Callithrix jacchus: one gene and its partner. The main gene of each other region encodes a partner of the protein of the gene in region 2 in a complex. Links are inferred from orthologs where the notes say so. Each region holds a gene or a part of one and is shown on either strand. Other genes may lie near its edges.

Region 1 (11,772 bases), on a different chromosome or scaffold from region 2:
ACCTTGTAGGGCCCCTCCTCGGGGGGCATGTAGCGCACAGCCTGGGCTTCCATGCCCCCGCACGGCTCCAGCTTGCAGGGGATGGGCCGGCGAGAGGGTGAAGTCATCCGCACGTCCAGCTGGCCCTGACCGCCAGCCCCTCGTGTGTTCACAGAGAAGGCTTGTTCCTGTCCCACGGCCACCTCTGCATGGAGGGCAAGTGACACCATGAGGAAACTGGTCTACCCCACCCAAACAACCCTCATTCCCAGGGTGGCTCTTGCCTCACTTACTGCTGTTGAGGCCCTGAACTTTTATTTTGCTGAGGTCCAGTGGGGGTGCCACATTCACCACAAAAGGGCTCTTGGGAACAGGGTCCCCGCCATAGGTCACTGTCACTGCCATGTTGCCCTGTTGGGTACAACAGTAGGTCAGAACGGGGTGTAAGGCACGGTTCTGCAGCAACCCGATGGTGAATCTGAAGCTCAGATCCACCAAGAGTGACGGCAGGAGGCAGGGAAGGCACGGAGGAGCCAGAACTGGTCCCATGGGACTGGAGAAGGGAAACCCAGGGCTCCGGCAGCCTGGCCGGGCAGGGTCGTGGGAGGGCAGAGCGCACCTGCTGGACAGCGGTGTACTTGACGGTGTAGGAGTAGTCATGGTTGTCAATGATCTCAAAGTCCCGCACAGCTTCGCCCTTGGCCGTCCCCGCAAACTGCACGTCCAGCTTGGCCTTGCCGGCTCCCTTGGTCAGCACCGTGAAGTGTGTGGGCTTCCCAACTTCCACACCTGGGGAGCCACGCAGAGATGTGGCAAGGGCCTGGCAGCCACCTAACCCCAACCTTGAGTCAGCCCCAGCCCCTGGTCAGACACCCACCTGTGCGATTCAGCCCAGGGCCCTCAGCCTTGACCTTGCTGGCATCATGGGATGGGTCTACCTTGATGTGGAAGGGGCTGGCGGGGATCTCCTGGATGTGGAAGAGGCTCAGTCAGGGCTCTTGAGGGGACCACACCCCTGCTCTGCGCTAGGTGCTGGCACAGGATGCCCCAGGGGACCCAGCAAGGACAGGGGCAGCCCCCAAAAGAGCTCCCTTTGCTTTCTCTTCAGCACCCTGCCTCACATGGGAAGGGCTCCACCATGTCTGTGAAATAATCCCTCCCTACCCCAAGTGACAGCATCTCCAGCTGCCTTCTAAAGCTGAGAGGTGCAGGCTGCTGTGACTACCCAGGGGCTTGAGTACCTGGTTGGCAAACAGCACCATGATGGTGTAGCGTCCGGCCCCTGGGGGCGTGTACTTGACCGTGAAGGTGTCGTTGTCATTCTTGATGATGTCGAAGTCGATGTCAGCCTCTGCAGGGCCCACCACGCCGGGGGCGCACTTGATGCCGATGCTCACGTCGCCTGCAGGGAGGCGGGCACCGCTGTGAGTAGGGCTCAGACTCCCCTCAACCGCCCAACACCCCAACCGAATCCACCCCTTCTGCCTGGGCGCACCTTGCCCCGCCTCGCTGCAGTCCACGGTGAAGTAGGTGGGCTCGTTGGCTTTGAGGCCCGTCTTCTCCACGCCAGGGCCGTACACCTTCACCCGCTCAGGGTGGCTGCCCTCGCCCACGTTCACCTGCGTGGGGGTGGGGGGAGGTTTCAGCTTAGCATGGTCCCCTTCCTCAAGGTTCATCTTTCTGCCCAGCATACCTGGCCCAGCCTCAGCGGCACCAGCCCAAGCCTCAGTTCCAGCCTGAGCCCAGGGACAGCCAGGGGCTCCAGCGAGGGGTCCACCCTCCCTTGGGGACCCCTGGCAGTGGGCACGGGGCAGGTTGGGAGGACGCACCCGGAAGGGGCTCTTGGGCACGTTTACGCCTCCCCAGGAGATGATGATGGTGTGCTTAATGGGCTTTGTGGGCACATAGGAACAGCGGAAGGTGCCATCGCCGTTGGGGATCACCTTGATGTCGATGGGACAGCCGTCCGCGTCCTGTGGGCATCACCGGAACAAAGATCACAGCTGTGGCCTCTGCAGAGCACCCTCTGCTGGCCACAGGTGGACCCAGAGCCTGTTTTCCCACAGCCAACAGGCTGGCACTCCCCACCCCCACACCAGCCACTGAAGCCACCTGAGCCCAGGCCCATGTGCTCTGGTGGCCAGAGCCCACCCTAGGAGCCTGGAGGCATGGCTCAAGGCCATCTGTGTGGCTTGCTTTCCCAGCCTAGGTTTCCTCATCTCTGAAATGTGTTGGACCGGAAGAATGTGGGCTAAATTTATGTTCCTAACATTGAATAATGGGCCTTTTAAAGAAGAACCACCCTCTTAGATCCTCAAGAATATGTTCATTAACCTCCAGGGGTCAATGGACACCAGTGTGACTTGAGAAACCAATGTCTTATTCAATGAAACAATCTTTCAATTACAAATTAGCACAAGTGACTCTTTGGTGAAATACGTTTTTAGGTTATGATCTATAAGAAAACACAAAATTTAAAATTTTCCATGGTACTGATGGGCCCATGTGAATCAGTCCTGCCTGATCTTCTGTGACACTATCATTTCCTGCTGGGAGGCCTCTGCCTCTGGCCTGGCCCTGCCTTCCAGGGTCCCTGCCATGGGTAGTAAGGGCTGCAGAGACTGGGCAGTCCCCCACCTGTGCATAGAGCTTCAGATCTCCCTTGCCAGCTGCACGGGCATCAATGGTGAATTCAGCAGGCTTGTCCACAATGCAGCCAGTAGGCTCCAGGCCGGGCCCAAAGGCCTTCACCTGTGCAGAGGGAAGAGGGCTGGGTTGGGGACTGGAGGAGAACCAGCTCGCCCAACCCCTGGAGCATTGTACCAGAGCTGGGACCATACCTTATCTGGGAAGCAGTCAGGTGGGGCAGGCAGGATGTGGGCAATGAAGGGTGAGTCTCGGATGTCCTCATCGTCACAGATGACATGCACAGCGTACTCCCCAGGCTCTGTGGGCCAGTACCGCACATCGCAGGAGCCATCCCCCTTGTCGTCACATTCGATCTTGGCTTGTGAGGGCCCCTCGATGGAGAAGCCTGGGGCAAAGTGGGGGAGGGTTGGTGGGTCCAACATCTGGCAAGACCCTTCCATCCCCCAGCTCTCCTCTGGCCTCCCTCATGTCTGAGCTCCCTGCTCACCCCAGGGCTCCCCAGCATGCGCACTGCACCCATTATCCCCAGTGACCCCCGCCACCCTCCCCCAAGCACTTCCTCCTCCTGCCTCCCAGCTACTTACCCAGTGTCCCCACCTCGGTGCCAATGGCTTCCACCACAAAATCAGCTGACTTGCCCACCTGACCAGTCTCCAAACCAGGACCCCAGGCCCGGACCTTTTGCACTCCTGCCTCTGGGCTCACCTGTACCTCAAAGGGGCTAGGCAGAGAGGGAGCTGGTGTCCATGCCAGGAAGTGACCCTCCAAGGCCCCCCCTTCATCTCCCCTCAAACTCCCCCGCAGCCTGCTGCCCCTCATCCCTTCCCGTAATGGCCTAGATGGGACAGCACGGGGGACTCAAGGTACTCACCTGCGAGGGATGGCATAGCCGCCCCATGTGATGGTCACCACATACTTCCCAGGCACCACCGGGTAGTACTCGCATTCGAACACACCATCCCCAGCCTCCCGAATTTTCACCGGCTCCTCTGTGCCCTCTGAGGAGGTGGGGGTGGAGTGGGGGAGAAGGCAGATCAATATCCTTGAAGTCCCAGCTCCTCAATCCCCTCAAGGAGCTCTTGGGACCCTGGCCCAGCCCGAAGGCAGTGCTCTAGTGGGCAATGCTCAAACTCAGGGCAGGTACCACTTGTCATCCCCGTGCATAACACCCCGTACAGCACTTAGGGTGGAGAGAATCATTCCTGGCTTGCAGACTCAGAAACTGAAGCAGAGAGGAAACAATGTGTGTGAGATTCTGGGGTGCCGCTGGTGACTGTGGAGCTGTGGTGCTGGCTGTCACTGCCCTCTGGGAGGCAGAACCATTGGCCATATTTACTCCCTGATTCCCCCAGCCCCACCCCCATGACCCTGGGCTCTGGCACTCACTTGGCCCCTTAACTGTGACCTTGAGCTCCCCGCTGCCGGCACCCTTGGTAAACACCTTGAAGTCAGCCACCTCTTTCACACGAACACCCTTGGGCTGCAGGCCTCGCCCAGAGGCACGGCAGGCATTGGGGTTACAGGCTGGGAGAAGAGGAGAGAGGAGGTTGGGGGTGTTGAGGGGCCTTGGACAGAGGCTCAGCCCCCATCTCCCTGGGCACAGTCCTTCTAACCCCTCCCAGGCATAGGCCCCAAGCCCACAGCCCTGCTCTGGAGCCCTTTGTGCCCCCAACACAACAGGGGCTGCTGGGCTGGAGCTGGCTACAGGTCCCAGACCAGACAGACCACAAGAAAGCTTCTGAGCCAATGCCACTGGGGAAATGCATGGCAGAGCTAGGCTGAGAGTGGGCTCAAAGAGACAGGGAAGGCTCCTTTACCCACCCCAAGGCTTCTAGAGCCCTCCATGCCCTCTCAGAACACCAAAGCAACCTTAGGATCTAAGTCATGCCACAACACATTCAGCAATGCCGTGGAACAAGAGCTGCTTCAGATAACGTGAAGCATGCCACAGAACACAGGCGATGTGTGGAAATCAGCTTCCCACAGACGGTGGCCAGTGGCAATGAGCCCAGACCTTGCCACAGAACACAGGCAAAGGAATGGGAATCTCAGTCTGCCACAGGATCCAGGAAATGGCATGGAACCCACGGGTGCTACAAAACACGACGACACATATTCCAGAACTACCATGACCATAGGCGATGGCACCACCCAAGGGGGACCACAGAACACAGGCAATGCCTCAGAACCCAGATTTCATCACAGAAATCATCAGGCAAGTGGCAAAGACACTAGACCTGCCACAGAACACAGAAAACACCATGGAACCTGGGGCCTGCCACAGAATGCCACGGAAGGGGGCGATTCCACACTGCCCGGGTCATGCCACACAGCACAGGTAAGGCCAGTCAGCTACGGCCAGGCCCGGCCCCGCCTCCACTGGAGAGCACTAAAGTGGCACCACTCTCTTGGCCTGGTGGATGATGGGCACTGAGTGCAGGGAGAGAACAAGTGGGGCAGTCATCACCCGAGGGCCCGGTGTGCGGGCAGCACTCCCCAGATACACCCCCACCCGTACGGCCCCATCACTTCCACTCAGCCCTCCCAGGATGGAATGTGTTTTGAGACCCTTCAGTATGGCCCCCATCCCTATTCTTAGGGACTCCAGCCATCTTGGGGGTGAAGTGGAAGGCTCAGAGAGGGGGTCTCTGCAGAGCCCCTCCCCAGCTCTTCCTCCTGTCCCTTGCAAGCCTCAGGCAGCTGCGCCCCTCTGCCCCACGGTGTGAGTGCTTCATGTCCCCCCAGTCCTCAGGCCTGGAACTTGTTGGCAATTCTCTGCATCCTGGCTTGGGTGAGAGCTACCGTGGGGAGCGGTGAGGAACCCTTACCTTCCGCCACGTGGACAGGGAAAGGACTGCGGGTGATGGGGGCACCCGCAAAGGCCACATGCACAGTGTGTGGCCCCTCCATGACAGGTCTGTATGTGCAACGGAATGTGCTATCACCCTTGTCCTCCAGGGCCACCTCCACTGTGTCCCGCCGGCCCTGCGGGTCCACGATCACCACGGCAACATCACCAGTGCCAGCCCCTGCCACAAACAGAGGCCATCAGCACCACTCTGGACACACACATCTGCCCCGGTGCCCTCACCCTGAGGCTGGTCACCCTCTGGCTGGTATCCCCACCCAGCCCCCCACACACAGCCCCACACCGTCAGAGGCTTTCTTCCTGCACCCCCTGGGGCCCATCCTACCGGCAGTGTAGATGTCAAAGTAGGTGGGTTTGTTGGCCACGTTGCCCACAGGTTCCAGGCCAGGGCCACGGGCTGACACCTTGTTGGCATCCCCCAGGGCCATGCCCACATTCACCTCAAAGGGGCTGCGTTCGATGTTCTGACCAGCAAAGAGCACGGTCACCTGGGGTCAGAGGTTAAAGGTTAGCTTTTAGGGGAGAGCCGTCCGAGATGGGGCAGAGGGGCACAGCCACGCCAAGGAGGGTGAGAGGCAAGCAGCCAGGGGCGAGATGCAGACTGAGAGAGGGGTCCATGCAGCCGGAGCCAAGGACGTGAACAGCAGGACGTGCAGGGGGCCTCAAGGGAGATACCTTGTGTAACCCAGCAACCTTGGGCACGTAGGAGACAGCGTAGGTGCGGTCCTTGTCATTGTTGGGAACCACCTTGGCCTATTGGGAAGGACAAAGATTGGAAGCCTCTCCAATGACTGTAGTCCCTCCTGACCCCACAGCGCCTTAAGCACCCCAGCCCCACGAAACCCCCATGGCGACGCCTTCTCCAGACTGCACAGCACAGTATGTAGCTCTGGCAGTCACTTCCGGGCCATTTCTACTGTTGGCCCTACACTCTCTGGTTCCAATCCCAAGCAAATTCCTCTGTCCCCGGCAGCCTCTGCATACCTCCTCGGTGTGGCCTTCGGGGTCCTCGATGTAAACCAGCACCTCGCCCACGCCGGCGTCCACCGTCTGCACGGTGAAGTGGGCAGGCTGCAGCACGGTGTTGCCCTGTGGCTCGATGCCTGCGGGGCGGGAGCAGAGCCCAGGTTACTCAGGGAGCCTCTGTGTGCCCAGCCCCCTAGCAGGGCCACCAGGGGCTCACACGTACCAGGACCATAGGCAATGGCTTTCTTGGGGTTCAGCTGCTTGGATCGAACAGGGGCACCAGGTTTGAGCTTGGCCTTGGGGAACTGGGACAGGTAGGTCATGACAGAATGCTCATCCACGTTGGGGTCCACAATCTCCTCAGGGGCGATAACCTGTGGCGGAAGGGACTGATGTCACACGGCGCCCTCTTTTCCCAGCAGCCCCAGTGTCCCCCTGCACCTTGGCCAGGTATCCTTACAGACCCAATCTCTGCCCCTGCCCCCTGCCCGCTGCCCCATCTGTGTGTGTACCTGAGGCACCCCAAGCCAGTCGTCAGCCTGCTGCATGGCTTCCCGGGCGTTCTCTACAGGCTGGTTGGGATCCCAGGCCTCCCAGTCAGGGCAGAGACCTGGAGAGGTGATGGAGGGAGACGATGGTGAGGGACAGCCAGCCGGCCAGGATGCAGAGCATTTGTTCACCCCACACCCTCGGAGCCTGTGGCTTCACGCCCCTTCCCACCAGCTCTAGGCCCTGACCAGCCAGGTTCCTGCTGACCCCATCAGCTGTGAGGCCCCTCACCACATAGGGGCACGACAGCCCTCCCCACCACCAACAATGAGGCCTTTCTGCCCCGGCTGACGCAGCCTGGCACCAGCCCTGCTGGCCGGCCTCCTGCCTGCCCAGGCCCCAGCTCAGACCTTGAAGCCCAAACCCTGGGAAGGTACCCCTCTCAGATATCTCTTGCTCATTCAGCTTTCTCAGGGTAGGCAGAGGAGGTCAGAGTGCCTGTCCCATATACGCCCCTGACATTCCCTAAAAGGCCTCCTCACCCTACTCGGAAGCCCTAGATCTCCAAGCACTTTCTATACCAGTCTGAGGGCATAAGACTCCCTATTCCTTCTAACTGCCCACATAGGGAAACTGAGGCATCTCCCCTGTGGGGAGAGAACGACTTCTCCTCTGCAGCCCTCAGGAGCCCTGCCCTCCTAACAGGAAGGATGCCGAGGCAGCCCCAGATCACTCCTATGAAGGGTGCAGGTGACAGCGTGCTTGGTTCAGGCCAAAGCTGGAGGAGGGGGACAGCACACATTTCGGGGAGGGGGCCGGCTCAAGGCTGGAATCCATGACTAGCTGGAACAGCTGAGCTCACTGCTGGCAGCCACACCAGCTATGGGCCATGGCTCAGCAGCTGGGAATGCTTCCCGGGAGGCTGTGCCCCCGCCTCCCACCCCCTGCTCCCCAGCTGACCCCAGGGTAGAGGAGGATTGTCCAAGGGCCTGCGACTCCCAGAGAAAGCCTATCTTTTCGGGAAATGAGGGGCAGAAAGGGAGCTGCCCATGGGATATCCTCTAGCTAGTGATGCCTGGGTTTTTTTTATGGCCCCTGAGCTCCCCTCACTTGACCAGGCCAGGACCTACATGGAGAAGGGGCAAGGCTGGGTCACCTGCTACTGGGCAGTACCCCACTGACCTCATCACACATCAGCCTGAGCCTCAACCCCTTGTCAAAGCCATCCCAGGGTCTCCCAGAGAAGAGACTTCTCTGGGTCTAACTCTTGGTCTCACTACAAGTCCCACCACACTGTCTGTCTCCCAGCTCGGCAGGAATAGTGCCTTGTGGCACAGTGAAAAGTTCACGAGGCAGAGAGTCCAGGCCCTGGGCTCTAGGTGGCTCTGCCATGGATAAGCTGTGTGATCTTCAGTAAGTCACTGGCCCTCTCTGGGCCATGGTGTCCTTGTCAGTAAAATAAGGGGTAAAATAACCTCTCCCGGCTCTGTGAAATCTGGCACACTTTTCAGGTAGGGCCTGCCACCAGCAGACAGCCGCAGCTGGAGGAGGGCAAACCCCGCAGGAATCCTGCCTTCCAGGCCCCTGGGTGTGCATCCTGACAACCACGGGCCTTGGCAGCCCCAGCTCGGCCCCTCTGTCTTTGAGACCTAAGGGCTCCATGCTGTGCTCGCTGGCCCACTCACCGGGGGCGCAGTTATCCACCAGGGCACCCAGAGCTTTGCCATCCTGCCAGTCACGGTTGAAGTTGGTGATGGGCAGCTGGGGCACCTTGTTCTGGATCCAGCCGAGCAGTCGCTGCTTGGGCGTCTGTTTGCGAGCATCCTCATCATCCTCATCCTCCCACATGGGCATGGAGATGGAGTAGTGCAGGATCAGCGTCCAGATCAGGCCCAGGATCAGCTTCAGGTTCCCATCCACGATGGCCTTGCTGTCTGCAGAGGGGAGGGCACAGGCAGGCTTAGAGTCACCCCACCCTCTCCTGCCCCAGGGCTCCCTACCTCACCTGCCCAGCTCCTCAGCCAGAGCCCTGGGGTCAGGTCTCTCGTCTCTGCTATCCATCCCTCTCCCTCCTGAGAGGCGCCACTCAGATGCCAAGTCCTTTACGGGGCCTTTCCGGTCAGAAGGCCGCTTCTCTGTGTTCCTGCGGTTCTGGAAGCTACCCTCACCTCTGCTATAGCACGTGAGTCTGCCTCCTGTCTGTGTACTTATCTGGTTTCTGTCTGGCCTTGTGGAATTATAAGGCTCCCAGGGCAGAGCCTTTTTGTATTGTTAACAGTTCTACTGAGGTATGCTTGACATACACGCTACGTCAACTGCACACGTTAGGAAGTGAAGTTTGAGAAGCTTTGACACTATGGATATCTCCACAAAGCCATCACCACATATCGAGAATAATAAAGGTACCATCCATCACTCCCCAAAGTTGCCTTGCTCACACCCCTTTGTGAGCGCTCTCTCCTGCTGCCCTTGTCGTTCCGTTCCAAGCAACAACTAATCTGCTTTCTGTCGCGATAGATGCTTTGTATTTCCTAGTGTGTTATATAGGTGGAATCACACATTCTATACTCTCTTTTTTTGTCTGCTTTCACTTTAGACACTAGGTTTTATCTTTCTACAATGAAGGTCTTGAACTTAGTAAGGACTCAATAAATAATGGTTGAATGAATGAATATTTTAAACTGGAGTGGAGTAGGACCAGCTTCCACTCAGATTCTACCCTGAATGCCAGAAAGAGCTTTAGAAACCAAGGGGTTCTGATAGCAGGGTAGGGGTGGGTGGGTGGGGTCTAGTACATTCTCAGTTAAGGCTTGGAAGTCACGTTGTCAAAGGCTGGGGGCCGGAGGGGCTCCAGGAGCTGACACACTCCACCCCTCACCTCCTTTGAGGAATCCTTTGAGTCAGAACTGGTTCCTCAAGATTTGGGAGGGGGCGCTAATTCCCCCTTGACAATCAGAAAGAAATATCCAGAAGCCTGGGGTGGCCTAGAGAGTAGACAGATCTTTGGAATTCAGCTTACTTGTAAAGGGCAATGAAGTTCTGAAATCTATCAGCTTCCCAAAGCACTGCTTTCAGAAGGCTGGAAATGGGTGGGAGACTCGGTCTTGTTTACTGATGTTGCCCGAGTGATGGGAGAGGGTGGAGTGGTCTCCCCTCCCACTTCTTCTCCCCTCCACCCTTCCCCAGACCCTGGGGCAGTGCCTGAGAAATCCAGGGCATCCCCTGCCCCACTCCCACCTGCCCCGGGAGGGCTACCTCAGTCTCCCTGTCCCTCTGGCTGGGGCTCTGGCCTCCTGGGCTACCCCACCCTGTCACTGATTCATCCTTCCTTCCCCAGCAGCTCCCCAGCCCGCCCCCTTCCCCTGGATCCACTGCAGCACAATGGTTTGGCAGCTTTCAGATTCCATGACACACTCACTCGCTGCCTCCCGGTGCTTTCTCTCAAACACACAGGCTCTGACACTTTCACACAGTCTTGATGCCCCAGGGCCTCCAGCCTCTCACAACCCCGGCAGCCTCCAAAGCCAGTGCTCACAAGCCCAGAAGTACTTCTTGCAAATTGGAGCCAGACCCCTGGGCAGGAAGCCTTGAGGCTGCAGGAGTTGGAAGGAGTATGTATATGGGGAGGGCGGTCATTCATATTTGCTGGAGAGGGAGGTTTCTCCCCAGCAACTGGCCCTGGGCCAGACAGCAAGTGGTCCAGGCCTGGAGCAGAAGAAGGGCAGTGGGGCTCCAAGTCCCACTCTGGGAGCAATGACCTCCCTCTCCCTCCTCCCTCTTGGAGGGCCAGGCAGAGGAGAGGAGCTCAGCGCCAACAGGGCCCACCAAGCATTTCTCCATCTGCCTTAGGGATACCCCCAAAGGAGTGGGAAGAGTCAGACAGCTAGTTCCTGAGGCCACCCCAGGCCTCAAACAGAGGGGGAGGAGAAGGCTGGGCCTAGGGAGGTGCTGGGACAGCTGCTGCCCCCTCCAGCCCCTCCCTTGGTTGTTGGCTCCAGGAGAAGGAATAGCAACTGGGGAACAGCTGCAGGACAGAGCTGCCTCATAGGCCTCTTTGTTCGGAGGGGACAAGCGGCAGTGGGGGGCAAGGACAAGGTGATGGGGATACAAAGGGCACAGCTCCTTTAGCCTTCACTCAGTGCCCCTTCTTCAGGTGGACCTGGATTCCAGCTCCCACTCCAGACCCTGACATCCCTTCTAAAAAGAGAAGTGGGGAGTCTTTCTGACACCCCCTCAGGTGCCCAGATGCTGGATTTCAGTGCTGAGACAATACTCAGGAGGCCCCCTGGATAGCCCCTTCCCACCACTAAATGGAGTCGGGGAGCTAGCAGAAGCAGGATGCCCCCCTCGTGGGCAGCCCCTTTGACCTCCTCATGGTGGGGCATCCCAGCAGGTCGCTTGTGTCCCCTTCCCTCCAGCCTCTGCCTGGGGCCAGCAGCTGAATTGCTGGCAGCTTATTTCATCAGCGCCAGTGAGAGTAACTTGGCCCGAATGGGGACTGCCTCCCCTTCCTCCCAGCAGGAACCTGGGAGCTTCCCTCCACCCCCAACCAGCTTTTGCTTCTTCCCCTTGGCTCTGAGTGGGCCCCTCCTCCACTGAGCCAAGGGGGCTGGAGCCAGGCACCACCACGGGGGAGGAGAGAGGTGAGCTCAGGAAGGACTAGGCCTGGAGAGGGGCGGGAGCCCCCCACCCTCGCCCACCCCCAGCAGGCTGGAGGGGAAGGGAAGGCTGAGCGGTTTCCTATATAGTCTTGCCGAGGCCTCCCGCTCTTCCCCCAGACCCCACCTGGGACAGTCAGTCCGGCCTTTCAAACCCCACCC
Region 2 (12,378 bases):
AAATTCCTGTAATCCCAGCTACTTGGGAGGCTGAGGTAGGAGAATCGCTTGAACTTGGGAGGCCGAGGTTGCAGTCAGTCAAGATCACACCATTGCACTCCAGCCTGGGCAACAAGAGCGATACTGTCTCAAAAAAGAAAAGAAAAGAAAAAGAGCATGGCTTTAGGAAGAAGGAGCCCCTGGACCACTCATCCTTCCCGCATCCTCTCTCAGGCCTTGGAGTGATTCTTCTACGGTTTTCCTCTCCTGCCCCCACAGGGTGAATTTGAGCTTTCTCTTAGAGGCCCAGCTCAAACATCACCTCCTCCACAAGGTCCTCCTGATTCCTGGCTCTCTCCAGGGGTGGTTTCTGCTGCCAAGGGCGATGACAGAGATGACAGCCCCAGGGCAGGACAGGCTGGCTCACAAGCTCACTATCAATGTGTGACCTTCAGCAGTACCTGAATTCTTTCTGTGCCTAGAGGGTAGCTCACAGTGCAGGCATCAAAGCACAGATCTGGCCGGGTGCAGTGGCTCACGTCTGTAATCCCAGCACTTCTGGAGGCAGAGGCTGGGGATCACTTGAGGTCAGGAGATAGAGACCAGCCTGGCCAACGTGGTGAAACACTGTCTCTAGTAAAAATACAAAATTTGGCCGGGCTCGGTGGCTCATGCCTATAATCCCAGCACTTTGGGAGGCCAAGGCAGGGGTGGATCACGAGGTCAGGAGTTCAAGACCAGCCTGGCTAACATGGTGAAAGCCCACCTCTACTAAAACTGCAAAAATTAGCTGAGTGTGGTGGCAGGCACCTGTAATCCCAGTTACTCAGGAGGCTGAAGCAGAGAACTGCTTGAATCCAGGAGGTGGAGGTTGCAGTGAGCTGAGATTGCTCCGCTGCTCTCCAGCCTGGGCGACAGAGGGAGGCTCAGTCTCCAAACAGACAAACACAAAAATTAGCCAGTCATGGTGGCTTGCACCTGTAGCTACTCAGGAGGCTAAGGCAGGAGAATTGCTGGAATCCTGGGAGGCAGAGGTTGCAGTGAGCTGAGATTGCGCCACTGCACTCCAGCCTGGGCGACAGAGGGAGACTCTGTCTGAAACAAACAAACAAAACAAAACAAAACAGATCTGAGAGCATGGTGGCACCCTGACATCCTGATGTCAGGAAAGGGCATTATTTCCCATATGTCACGTAGTTCCTGCTGACAGTAGTCTCTGCAGCCAAGGCTGAGGTGGGGACATGGTGGGAGATTTGGGAGTCCAGTGAACCCAGATGTCCTCACCAGGCCTGCAACAGTGGTGCCCAGGGCTAAAACACGTCTCTTTTTAGGTCGAGCACAATGGCTCATGCCTGTAATCCCAGCTGTTCGAGACCAGCCTGGCCAACACAGTGAAACCCCGTCTCTACTAAAAATAACAAAATTTCCTGGGCGTGATGGCGGGTGCCTGTAATCCCAGCTACTTGGGAGGCTGAGGCAGGAGAATTGTTTGCACCTGGGAGGTGGGGGTTGCAGTGAGCTGAGATTGAGCCATTGCATTCCAGCCTGGATGACAGGGCAAGACTCTATTAAAAAAAAAAAAAAAAAAAGTGTCCTTTTCTATCTCGCTCTTCAGGCTGTCCTTTGTGCACTGGCCACTGTGGGTTCTCAGTGACTGATGGATAATAAAAACAGTAAGAAGTGCTCCTGAATTACTCTTAAGTTGGTTTATGTGTTTGGCTAAAACATATAGCCCAGTCTGATAATAAAGTATTTATTCTGAGTAAGAAATCAATATATTAGGAAAGAGCCTCAAAACTTACTTAAAAGTACTTCTCTTTAGCTTCTGGGTTTGGCAATGGTGTCTGGAAGTATGTATGCTCAGGCTGGCTGTCACGGGCTTTAGTTTTACACTTTGTTGTAAGTTTAAGAATCTGTTTTCTGTCAACAATATTCAGAGTGCATCTGAGATCTAAAGAAATACTGAACAACTCGCTGATAAGGCACCAGGCCTTGTGCCAGGTACTATATGTGCCTCAAAACCCACCAGCCTCTCAATCTAGCTGCAAGAAAGGCCCATCCTGGCCCCACTTTGCAGATGGAGCCTATGAGGTTCCAGGAGGTTAAGTGACTTTCCCAGGCCATCCATGGCTCTCAGAATTCTAATGAAACATCATCCCACCTGGAAATCCAGGGTGTCCCCATACCTGAGAGGACACACTTTTCCTTCCTTGGATGGCACAAGGCCCCCCAAGTTGCCAGGCCTGTTCTCACTCTAGAATGACCCAATCCAGAAATCTTGTGGTCGGCAGGTTCTGGGCTGGTCCCCCGGGCTGCTGTGGGCCTTTGAGATGGCCCTCTGCCTCCTCCCACCCAGCCCTGACCCTTCCTCCACTCCTCCGGGAAGTCAGATATGCCTGGTTTCTCGGAAAATGTCCAGCACGGAGGCCAGATGTTCACATCTGGGCAGCCCCCATCCCTCTCAAGCAGTGACTGCAGGGACCTCAGGCCCCAGGGGAAGGGACTGAGCTGGGGAGTTTCAAAACCCTGTCAATCCCATCGGGAAAGGGAGCCCTGGCTTCCCTCCGGTCCCACTGCCCTCCAATCAGTTGGGAGCAGGGTGTGTGTGTGTGGCGGGAGCAGCAGGATGTGTGTAAGTTCCCCAGGGGCAGTCTCCCTTGCCCAGGGGACCCTCTGCCCTCACTCTTCCTCCCGGAGAGGGTGAATCAGAGATCCAGTTAGATAAGTGGAGAAAGTGGGGACAAAGGGAGGGAAAGTCATTTCCTGTCCAAAGTTAGGAAGGAGGTTGGGATCCAGCCAGCCACCCAGACCAGCTAGAGGCTGCAGCCTTGGGACAGAGGATGTGCAGCTCAGGACCTCAGGACCCCCCCACCCCCATTCATTTCCTACTCCTAAAAAAAAAAAAAAAGAAAACCTCCGGGACCACCTCTAAGCGTTTTCCTTTTTTTTTTTTGAGACAGAGTCTTGCTCCAGAGGCAAGTGCAGTGGTGCAATCTCGGCACACTGAAACTGCCTCCCAGGTTCAAGCAATTCTCCTGCTTCAGCCTCCCTTGTAGCTGGGACCACAGGCATGAGCCACCACACTTGGCTGATTTTTGTATTTTTGGTAGACACAGGGTTTCACCATGTTGGCCAGGCTGGTCTTTAACTCCTGACTTCAGTGATCTGCCGGCCTTGGCCTCTCAAAATGCTGGGATCACAGGAGCAAGCCACCACACCCGGCTTCAGCGTTGTTCTTTAATGACTGGATAAAGCAGTCTACCTTTGGGTCCGGAATTAAACTTAGCCCGAGATGGGGACGGGGCGGGCTGTGCCCCAACTCCTCCCACCTAGCAGCCTTGGGGAGGGGTTCCCTCAACCTCTCTCCCACCCCAGGGAAACAGAGGAGACAGAGCTGGGTTCACAAGAGGCCCCACCTCTTTCCTGCGGGGTGACCTCGCGCAGGTCACTGAACCTCTCTGGCCTCGTTCTTTTCATAAAGTGAGAATGAGCCTGTCCTAAAGGCGGCTGAGAGTATATAGAAGGAAAGAAGGCTCAGGGTCGAGGCCCTTGGAAAGCGCAAAGAGAAGGTTATGCAGCGGCTGAGCGGGAAAAGGGCCTGGGGCTGGGCTCCGCTGGGGGTGCCTCCAGGACCAGGAGGTAGCTTCCACCGTCATTAAGAACAGGAATCTGGGCGCGGCCCCAGCCTCTCCCGGGGGTCCTCAGGTCGGGGCGGAAGATGGCGGGTGGGGGCGGACGCCAAGATCGCCCCAGGGCACACACCTATCGCCCAGCTCCGCTCCTTTTCAGCCCCCGACGGGCGCATGAGGCCCAGAGAGGGGCAGCCCCGGGGCCCGTCCCTCCCCTCCCCTGACCCTGGCTGGGAAAGGGGCCCGGAGCTCCCCCGGGCTCCGGAAACGCGGGGCCCTCGCAGGCAGCCGAGCAGGGAGGCCGCCGGGGTCACCGCCGGGGCTTTAATTCGATCCATGTGCGGGACGCCGGCCCTTTGTGCGGGAGCTTCCGCCCAGCGTGCCCGTTCCCGGAGCCCGCTCCAGGTCTGGGACTCGACCCTCCGCCGCCCCCACTGAGCCTTCGCCCCGGACCCGCCGACCCCCGACTCCGGGGACAGAGAATAAAAGAGACGGGGACGCAAAGGACGTGAGGACCGCACCCCCCACCCGCAGGCCCCTCCAAGGGCGCCGCGCCGGGACTCCCGGCTGGGGACCGGGTGGGCTCCGGCCGAGCGCTGCCTGCGCTGTCACCTGTGTGCGACGGGGGCAGGGACGGAGGAATGCCTCCCTCACCCACCCGGCCCCCTTACCTGGGCTGCCCGCACCCCTGCGGCTCCGATCCGACGCCCGAGCCAGTGGAGTCCGGAGCTGCGGGGCCTCCCGCCCCCTCCGCCCGTCCGCCCTCCCCGCCCCCTCGGCTCCCTCCGCCCCGCCGCCCCGCGCCGCGTTACCATAAAAGGTGAGGCTCGGTGGGGAGGGGGCGCGGGATTCCCGCCCCGCAGAAGCGGTTCTTACCTGCCCCCTACCCGCCCCACAACCAGTTCGGCCGCGCCCCGCGCCGTTCCCTCCCCCTCCCTTTGTTTCCTGGACCACGCCTCCCCTCCCCCTTGGCCCAGGCCCGGGGGTGGGGGTTAGGGGGAAGGGGTGTGGGGGCCGAGGAATGGGGAGTGGGGGTGGGCCTCCTTCCCTCCCCGCTGTCCACCCCCTCGTGTCCGTTATGGACCCCTCGTGGTCCCTGCCCTGCCCTTTCCCTTGCTTTCCTGGGCTGACGCCCCCACCTGCCCTGTCCCGCGTAGGTGAGCTCTTACACCCCACTTTGCCTCTAGGATCCGCCAGGGTCCCGAGTCAAGCCGATCAGGGTTCTGCGGCCGTTCACTAAGCGTGAGACCTGGAGCAGTCACTCCACCTCCTGAGCCTCAGTGTCTTCATCTGTAAAGTGGGAGTAGCCACTGCCTACCTCTCCAGGTTGGCCTGAAGATAAAAGGTGACAGTCACAGCCAGGACTGTGATTAATAGAGGTTAATATATGCCGGGTTGGGGTTTTTTTCTAGGAGTGCCCCTGCGGGTGGGGGTCTCAGAGACCTCCCAGTGGAGCAGGTCACCTTGTTCTGCTGTCCTGAGGTATAAGCCCTCTGCAGGTGGGTCCCGGTGTCCTGGGGGACAGGCCCCTCCAGGAGCTCTGGAAGGCAGAGCCCAGCTGGCCCAGTGGCTGAACCCCTCCCTCCACCTCCAGTGACCCTCTCCCTCCTAGCTGGAGCAGTTAGGACGGTAGGGGGAGGGAAGGCTGAGCCTGGCTCTGGGGCCCAGGATGGGGCTGGGATGAGCCGCCTGGGTCCCTCAGGAGCATTGTGGCGAAAGGAATCTGGGTCTGATTCAGAGGCAGATTGTTCTTTTGATTAAAGCCACAGTGGCTGAGTCTGGAGGAGCGCTGGACCCAGCGCCATCTGTGGGGCGGCCAGGCAGCATCTGGCCCTCTCCTGCAGCCTCACAGCTACAGTCACCCCTCCAGGGTGGCTCTGGGACTGTTTCTGAGGGAGGCTGGTTTATATTCGAAGGAGGGTGCCTTTGCCCTCTCCCACCAATCATTGCCCCTCCCATCCCTCTTGTCACCCCATTTCCCATTTGATCCTCACAGTTGAACTGCAGTAACAGCAGCAGTCCCAGCAGCTGCCTTTGGTGGGGGCTTTCTAGGTGCTGGTGCCCATCCTCATCCCCTTCCCAATCCCACGAGAGCCCTGGGCGCCAGGGCTGATAATTCCTCTGCACAGTCAAGGACACGGAGGCCCCGAGAGGCCCGAGGCTACACTAGGGGCAAATGACAGAGCTGAATTCAAACCAGAGCCGCTGTGTCCTTGGGCACACAGCTCTGCTAGTCTCAGGAACAGGTACCACTGCCACCCTTCACAGATTCGGAAGCTGGGGCTTGGAGGTGGTGAGAGTTCTGTGCAGCAGGGCGAGGTTGCAGCTCAAGGCTGTTTGAGTCCCCCCTTGGCTCATTCCTGGCTTGGCAGTGATACCCTGCTCCTCCCAGCCCCCAAGCTTTGCAGTACCCTTTGGAGGAGACTTCCCCCATACCCTCCACTGGGAGGGAAACACCGAACGCCAGAGACAGGAAGGACCCTGGTGTGATCTGGGGGTTTTCAGGGACTTTTGGCTGTAGAACCCCTTTCCAAGTGCTTGATGACCCAGGAGTTTATTTTAGAGATAAAAGTGGAGCTGCCCGCCGTCACCTCCATGACATCCCCTGAGCCACCTGCACCCCCAGATGGGAGAGTGGGGCACCGAAGGGTTGAACTGGGGCTTTGTTCAAGGTCACACTGACTCAGTCTAGGACCCAGGCCTCCCACATCTGCTCTGGGACGGTCAAAGGGAATGAGGGTCCAGCTGCCTCTGCTTACCTGCCTCCAGCACCTTTGGCCGCCTGTTCGACTGCCACCACCACTCCCAGATGGAGGAGTGCATCCTGGCCTGCAGCAGCCCAGGTGTCGATGTCACCTATCAGCAGGTGCCAAACTTCCTGCAATGGAAACCCAGGAAGTGCACTGGACAAGAACAGACGCGCTTTGTCTGCCAGCTCGGAAGCCCTGCTGCCCTCTGCTGTCACTGCCAGGTTCGCATCGGCTTTCTCCCCACTCAGATGGCCCCAGCAAGCAAGGGGCTCAACCTTCCCTTAGGATGGTGGCAGCAGAGGCCCTGGGTGGCAGGGAATGGGTGGGCGAGAGGTTTGAGGGAAAGTGTGCTTGCCAGGGTAGGGGTGGCACCTGCCATCCACAATGGAGAACTTTGACTTTGCAGACACTGTTGTGTGCAATGCATGAGTCAAGGAGCCAGTGGGATCAAGTCAGACATGATCAGCCCTTGTCCCCACAAACCTTACAAGGAGATTGGGTAGACCAAACCATAAGGCATATTAACATGATAATGACCAATAGTAAAAGGTGCTATGAAGGAATGGACCAGGGGCTGAGACAAACATGAGTGGGGGTGGGCAGGGATGGGCAGGAAGGCCTCTCTGAGGAGGTGAGGAGGGTTAAGCTGAGATGGAGAGGAGCCAGTGTGAGAATAGGGACAGAGGGGAACTTTATTAAAGGTCAGATGCCCCTGGGGCCTCTCAGCTCCTTACTCCATCCCTTATTTTCCATCTGCCTACCTGCTTGGAGTCAGGTCAGTCCAATGCTTATTTCCTGGGTGCTGCTGCGTATGGGGTCCTGTGCTAGGCAGGGTGGGAAGAGGAGCAGCACAGACAAGAGGGAGCTCCCCCATAGTGGAGGCGTCAGATGGGGACACAGATACAGTTGTGAGTAACATCAGCATCTGGGAGTGACTCCAGCTCTGCCATTTGCCAGCCTTGGGCAAATCACTTCTCTCTGGGCCTCAGTTTCCTCTTGCAACTGAGGAGTTACAAACCCAGGTTTGTCCCTTGTGACTTCATAGCAAGAATCCAGTGGGGTAAATATGGGTAAAAATACCTGGTGCTCAGTAGGTGTTCAAAGCTGAGCTCTCCCTACCACATAAAGGATAGAAGTTGTAGTCAGAGGGACAGAGTGCTGAAAGGAAGAGAAGGACGCGACTTTGTCCTGCAAGAGAATCCAAGGCACATCCATGGCTCCTGACAGCCCAGCACTGCTTTCCCAGATTCTGATAACAGCACTGTTTCTGTTTGGGGAACCTTTCCTTCACTCTCAATGCCTGGGGTTAAGATAAGATTCCTGGCCAGGGGCGATGACTCACACCTGTAATCCCAGCACTTTGGGAGGCTGAGGGGGCAGATCACGAGGTCAGGATTTCAAGGCCAGCCTAGCTAATATGGTGAAACCCCGTCTCTACTATAAAATATTAAAATTAGCTGGACATGATGGTGGGCGCCTGTAGTTCCAGCTACTCAGGAGGGCTGAGGCAGGAGAATCACTTGAACCTGGGAGGCGGAGGTGGCAGTGAGCCGAGAACATGCTACTGCACTCCAGCCTGGGTGACAGAGTAAGACTCCGTCTCAATCAATCAATCAATAAAAGATGAGATTCCTACATCCTCTGACTCTGCAGATGTATACATGACCCATGTCCAGCCAATCATGGTGGCTGTTAGTTCTAAGATAAGCTCTCTGGGCTTGTTGGCTGGCAGAATACAAGCTTGGCACCACTTTCGCCCCCCACTTGGACCCCCACAGAGGACAGCAGAGCAAAGAGATAGAGAAAGATAACTGATTTCATCACTTAAGCTGCTGGATCCAGCCCTGCCTGCAATCCTACTACCAGGCCTGCAGAATCAATGCATTTTTTCCCTTTTTGTTTTTTATTCTTTTAAGACAGAGTCTTGCTCTGTCAGCCAGGCTGGACTACAAGGGTGCAATTTTGGCTTACTGCAACCTCCACCTCCCAATTTCAAGTGATTCTTGTGCCTCCTGAGTAGCTGGGACTACAGGCATATACCACCATGCCTGGCTAATTTTTGTATTTTTCTAGTAGAGACAGGGTAACAACATGTTGGCCAGGCTGGTTGTGATTATAGGCTCCTTACTTTTTCTTAAACCAGTTAAAATTGCATTTCTGGCCAGACGTGGTGGCTCATGCCTGTAATGCCAGCACTTTGGGAGGCCAAGGTGGGTGGATTATGAGGTCAAAAGTTCCAGACCAGCCTGACCAACATGGTGAAACCCCCACATCTACTAAAAATATACAAATTAGCCAGGTGTGGTGGCGTGTGCCTATAATTCCAGCTGCTCAGGAGGCTGAAGCAGGAGAATTGCTTGAACCCAGGAGGTGGAGGTTGCAGTGAACCAAGATCACGCCACTGCGCTCCAGCCTGGGTGACAGAGCAAGATTCCGTCTCAAAAAAAAAATTGTATTTCTCCAGTCATTTATTGTGCTTTTTCTTTTTTTCTTCTTCTTCTTTTATTTATTTATTTTTTTGCCTGAACATAGCTGTAAACTGTTCTGAGATGTTGTGCTTTTTCTCCTTGTTCTAAATAAATAGTCATGAGTCTGGGTGCGGTGGCTCACGCCTGTAATCCCAGCAGTTTGGGAGGCCCAGGCAGGCAGATTACTTGAGGCCAGGAGTTAGAGACTAGCCTGGCCAGCATGGTGAAACCCCGTCTCTACTAAAAATAGAAAAATTAGCCAGGTGTGGTGGTAAGCAGCTGTAGTCCCAGCTACTCAGGAGGCAGAGGCACAACAATTTCGTGAACCTAGAAGGCAGAGATTGCAGTGAGCCGAGATGTCCCCACTGAACTCCTAAGTGCCCTAAGTGATAGAGCCAGACTTTGTCTCTACTAAAAATACGAAAATTAGCTGGGTGTGGTGGTGCACACTTTTAGTCCCAGCTACTTGGGTGGTGGAGGCAGGAGAATTGCTTGAATCTGGGTGGTGGAGGTTGCAGTGAACTGAGATTGTGGCACTGCACTCCAGCCTGGGTGACAGTGAGACTCTGTCTCAAAATAAATAAATAGGCCAGGCGTGGTCTCTCAGGCCTGTAATCCCAGCACTTAGGGAGGCCAAGGCGGGCAGATCACAAGGTCGGGAGATCAAGACCATCCTGGCCAACACAGTAAAACCCTGTCTCTACTAATAATACAAAAATTAGCTGGGTATGGTGGCATGTGCCTGTAATTCCAGTTTCTCTGGAGGCTGAGGGAGGAGAATCACTTGAGTTCGGGAGATGGAGCTTGCAGTGAGCCAAGACTGCACCACTAAACTCCAGCCTGGCAATGGAGTGAGGCTCCATCTAAAAAATAAATTAGTACATAAATAAATAAAACAAAAAAATTAGCCAAGTGTGGTGGTGCACACCTGTAGTCCCAGCTACTTGGGAGGCTGAGGTGGGAGGATCACTTGAGCCCTGGAAGTGGAGGTTGCAGTGAGTGAAGATCAATCATGCTACTACATTCTAGCCTGGGCAACAGAGCAAGACCTTGTCTTGAAGAAAAAGCCAGGCCAGGCATGGTGGTTCATGCCTGTAATCCCAGCACTTTGGGAGGCCGAGGTGGGAGGAACATGACGTCAGGAGTCTGAGACCAGCTTGGCCAACATGGCAAAACCCTGTCTCTACTAAAACTACAAAAATTAGCCAGGCGTGGCAGTGGCAGCTGGGGGTAGTACCTGTAATCCCAGCTACTCGGGAGGCTGAGGCAGGAGAATCGCTTGAACCTGGACGCAAAGGTTGCAGTGAGCTGAGATTGCACCACTGCACTCCAGCCTGGGTGACAGAGCAAAACTCCATCTCAAAAAAAAAAAAAAAAAACCAGGCACCTGTAATCCTGGCTATTTGGGAGGCTGAGGAAGGAGAATTGCTTGAACCCAGGAGGTGGAGGTTGCAGTGAGCCAAGATTGTGCCACTGCACTCCAGCCTGGGCGACGAAGTGAAACTCCACCAAAAGAAAAAAAAGCCGAGTAGGAATTGACCAGGCCGCAGCTAGAGCCATATGGTGTCCACTCTAAGGCTTTAAGCCTGTGTCCAACTGCCTCGCCCAGGCAGAGCCTACGTTCCCAAGAGCTGGCTGTGACAATATTGTCTGGGTATTAATCCCCTACTGGTTTAGGGGCCTGAGCTGGCTCTGGCCAGGCATGCTGGTTCCCACGACCAGGCTGTCCACTCAGCAAATCAGCACAGGCTCCAGGGTGGGGTGTGAGAAGTATGGGACAGGCCAAGGAAGGGCTTGAGGCTCAGCTGACTGAGGGGGCCCTCCTCACCCTAGGCCATCCCCGTCAGGGCCCCTCTGTCCCTTATTTGGGAAGGTCCCTGAGCTAGCTCCAAACCCTCACTGACCCCAGCTGCCTCCTCGATCCCCCTCCCACTGGGAACCTCCACTCCCAGCGGGAACCTCCACTCCCAGCGGGAACCTCCACTCCCAGCGGGAACCTCCACTCCCAGCGGGAACCTCCACTCCCAGCAGCTTCTATCCCAGCATCCGCCCTTGCTGATCTATCTCCGCACCCTCAAGCCCTGAGCCCCCTCCTTACTAAAGCACAATGTGGCCTGAAACCTGCCATCACCTCTGTGGGTCTCCCCTTCTCTCTTAGCCAGAGGTGGGCTTATTGTGGAGTTAATAAAACTTATGCTCATGGCCTCACTCCCATGGCCCCTATGAAGGCTGGGAACTTCTGGGTGTTACAGAGTGTTCTAGACAAATAGGGAAGCCGGTTTTGCTTAGGAAGGGAGTCCATGAAGCACACCTGGCAAACTGCCCAGGGAGACATCAGAAGAGCCCAGATCTTCAAGTCTCCAGTCATAGTTGTGCTTCTTCTCCTTGTTCTAGTCACTTTCAGCCAGGCGCAGTGGCTCATGCCTGTAATCCCAGCACTTTGGGAGGCCTGAGGTCAGGAGTTTGAGACCAGCCTGGCCAACATGGGGAAACCCCATCTGTACTAAAAATACAAAAATTGGCCGGGCGTGGTGGCTCACGCCTATAATCCCAGCACTTTGGGAGGCCGAGGCGGGTGGATCACGAGGTCAAGAGATTGAGACTATCCTGGTCAACAAAGTGAAACCACATCTCTACCAAAAATACAAAAATTAGCTGGGCATGGTGGTGCGCGCCTGTAGTCCCAGCTACTTGGGAGGCGGAGGCAGGATAATTGCTTGAACCCAGAAGGCGGAGGTTGGGGTGAGCCGAGATCATGCCATTGCACTCCAGTCTGGGTAACAACAGCGAAACTCCATCTCAAAAAAAAAAAACAAAAAACAAAAATTAGCCAGTGTGGTGGTGCATGCCTGTAATCCCAGTTACTCAGTAGGCTGAGGCAGGAGAATTGCCTGAACCCGGGAGGCAGAGGTTGCAGTAAGCTGAGATCTCCATATTGCACTCCAGCCTGGTGACATAGTGAGACTGCCCCTCCCCAAAATAGTCATCTTCATACGAATCCTGTATTATTTTTCTAAAGGGAGTCCTTAAAATGGGATCTGCCTTGATCTTTCTTATTTTATTTTGAGATGGGGTCTTGCTCTGTTGCCCAGGCTGGAGTGCAAGTGGTGTGATTATAATTCACTGCAGCCTCCACCTCCTGGGCCCAAGTGATCCTCACGCCTCAGCCTCCCAAGCAGCTGAGACTACAGGGACACACCACCATGCCCAGCTAATTTTTTTTTTATTATCTGTAGAGATGAGGTCTTGCTATGTTGCCCAGACTGGCCTCGAACTCCTGGGCTCACAAAATCCTCCCGCCTCGGCCTCCCAAAGTGCTGGGATTACAGGTGTGAGCCACAACGCCTGACCCATATGCCTCACTTTTATTATTTACAATCCCCTCTCCTCACAGCAGCCAGAGCCCCTCACTAAAGCAGCACCTAATGCCCTTCTTTGCACAGCCCTCTATGGCTCCCCACTGCTCTCTGGGACAATGCCAAATCCCTCACCCCGGCCCTGTGTGATCCCGCCCCAACCCACCCCTGGTGCTATTTCCCACCACTGCACCCC

Evidence for each region.
Region 1: the proteins of FBLIM1 (region 2) and FLNC are in contact, whole or in part, in an NMR structure (PDB 2K9U), measured with the Homo sapiens proteins. The link is inferred for Callithrix jacchus from reciprocal best matches to the Homo sapiens genes FBLIM1 and FLNC. Residues at the interface, in NP_001337080.1 of Homo sapiens: Arg8, Val9, Ala10, Ser11, Ser12, Val13, Phe14, Ile15, Thr16, Leu17, Pro19; in NP_001449.3 of Homo sapiens: Thr2339, Ala2344, Gly2345, Gly2346, Leu2347, Ser2348, Ile2349, Ala2350, Val2351, Glu2352, Gly2353, Pro2354, Ser2355, Lys2356, Ile2359, Phe2361, Asp2380, Glu2382, Phe2387.

What each region holds. Positions count from the first base shown.
Region 1 is NC_133512.1:118,340,348-118,352,119, forward strand, and holds part of FLNC (filamin-C), read right to left. Parts: intron 8,887-11,772; coding exon 8,638-8,886; intron 7,074-8,637; coding exon 6,976-7,073; intron 6,838-6,975; coding exon 6,687-6,837; intron 6,601-6,686; coding exon 6,482-6,600; intron 6,251-6,481; coding exon 6,173-6,250; intron 5,986-6,172; coding exon 5,823-5,985; intron 5,658-5,822; coding exon 5,457-5,657; intron 4,153-5,456; coding exon 4,015-4,152; intron 3,627-4,014; coding exon 3,500-3,626; intron 3,350-3,499; coding exon 3,213-3,349; intron 3,014-3,212; coding exon 2,820-3,013; intron 2,731-2,819; coding exon 2,617-2,730; intron 1,953-2,616; coding exon 1,809-1,952; intron 1,599-1,808; coding exon 1,475-1,598; intron 1,382-1,474; coding exon 1,221-1,381; intron 948-1,220; coding exon 857-947; intron 769-856; coding exon 599-768; intron 391-598; coding exon 273-390; intron 185-272; coding exon 1-184.
Region 2 is NC_133508.1:53,088,201-53,100,578, reverse strand, and holds the start of FBLIM1 (filamin-binding LIM protein 1), read right to left. Parts: upstream 6,463-12,378; 5' UTR 6,368-6,462; intron 4,869-6,367; exon of another isoform or gene 4,748-4,868; intron 4,520-4,747; exon of another isoform or gene 4,485-4,519; intron 4,334-4,484; exon of another isoform or gene 4,280-4,333; intron 1-4,279. UniProt on the Homo sapiens protein: Serves as an anchoring site for cell-ECM adhesion proteins and filamin-containing actin filaments. Is implicated in cell shape modulation (spreading) and motility.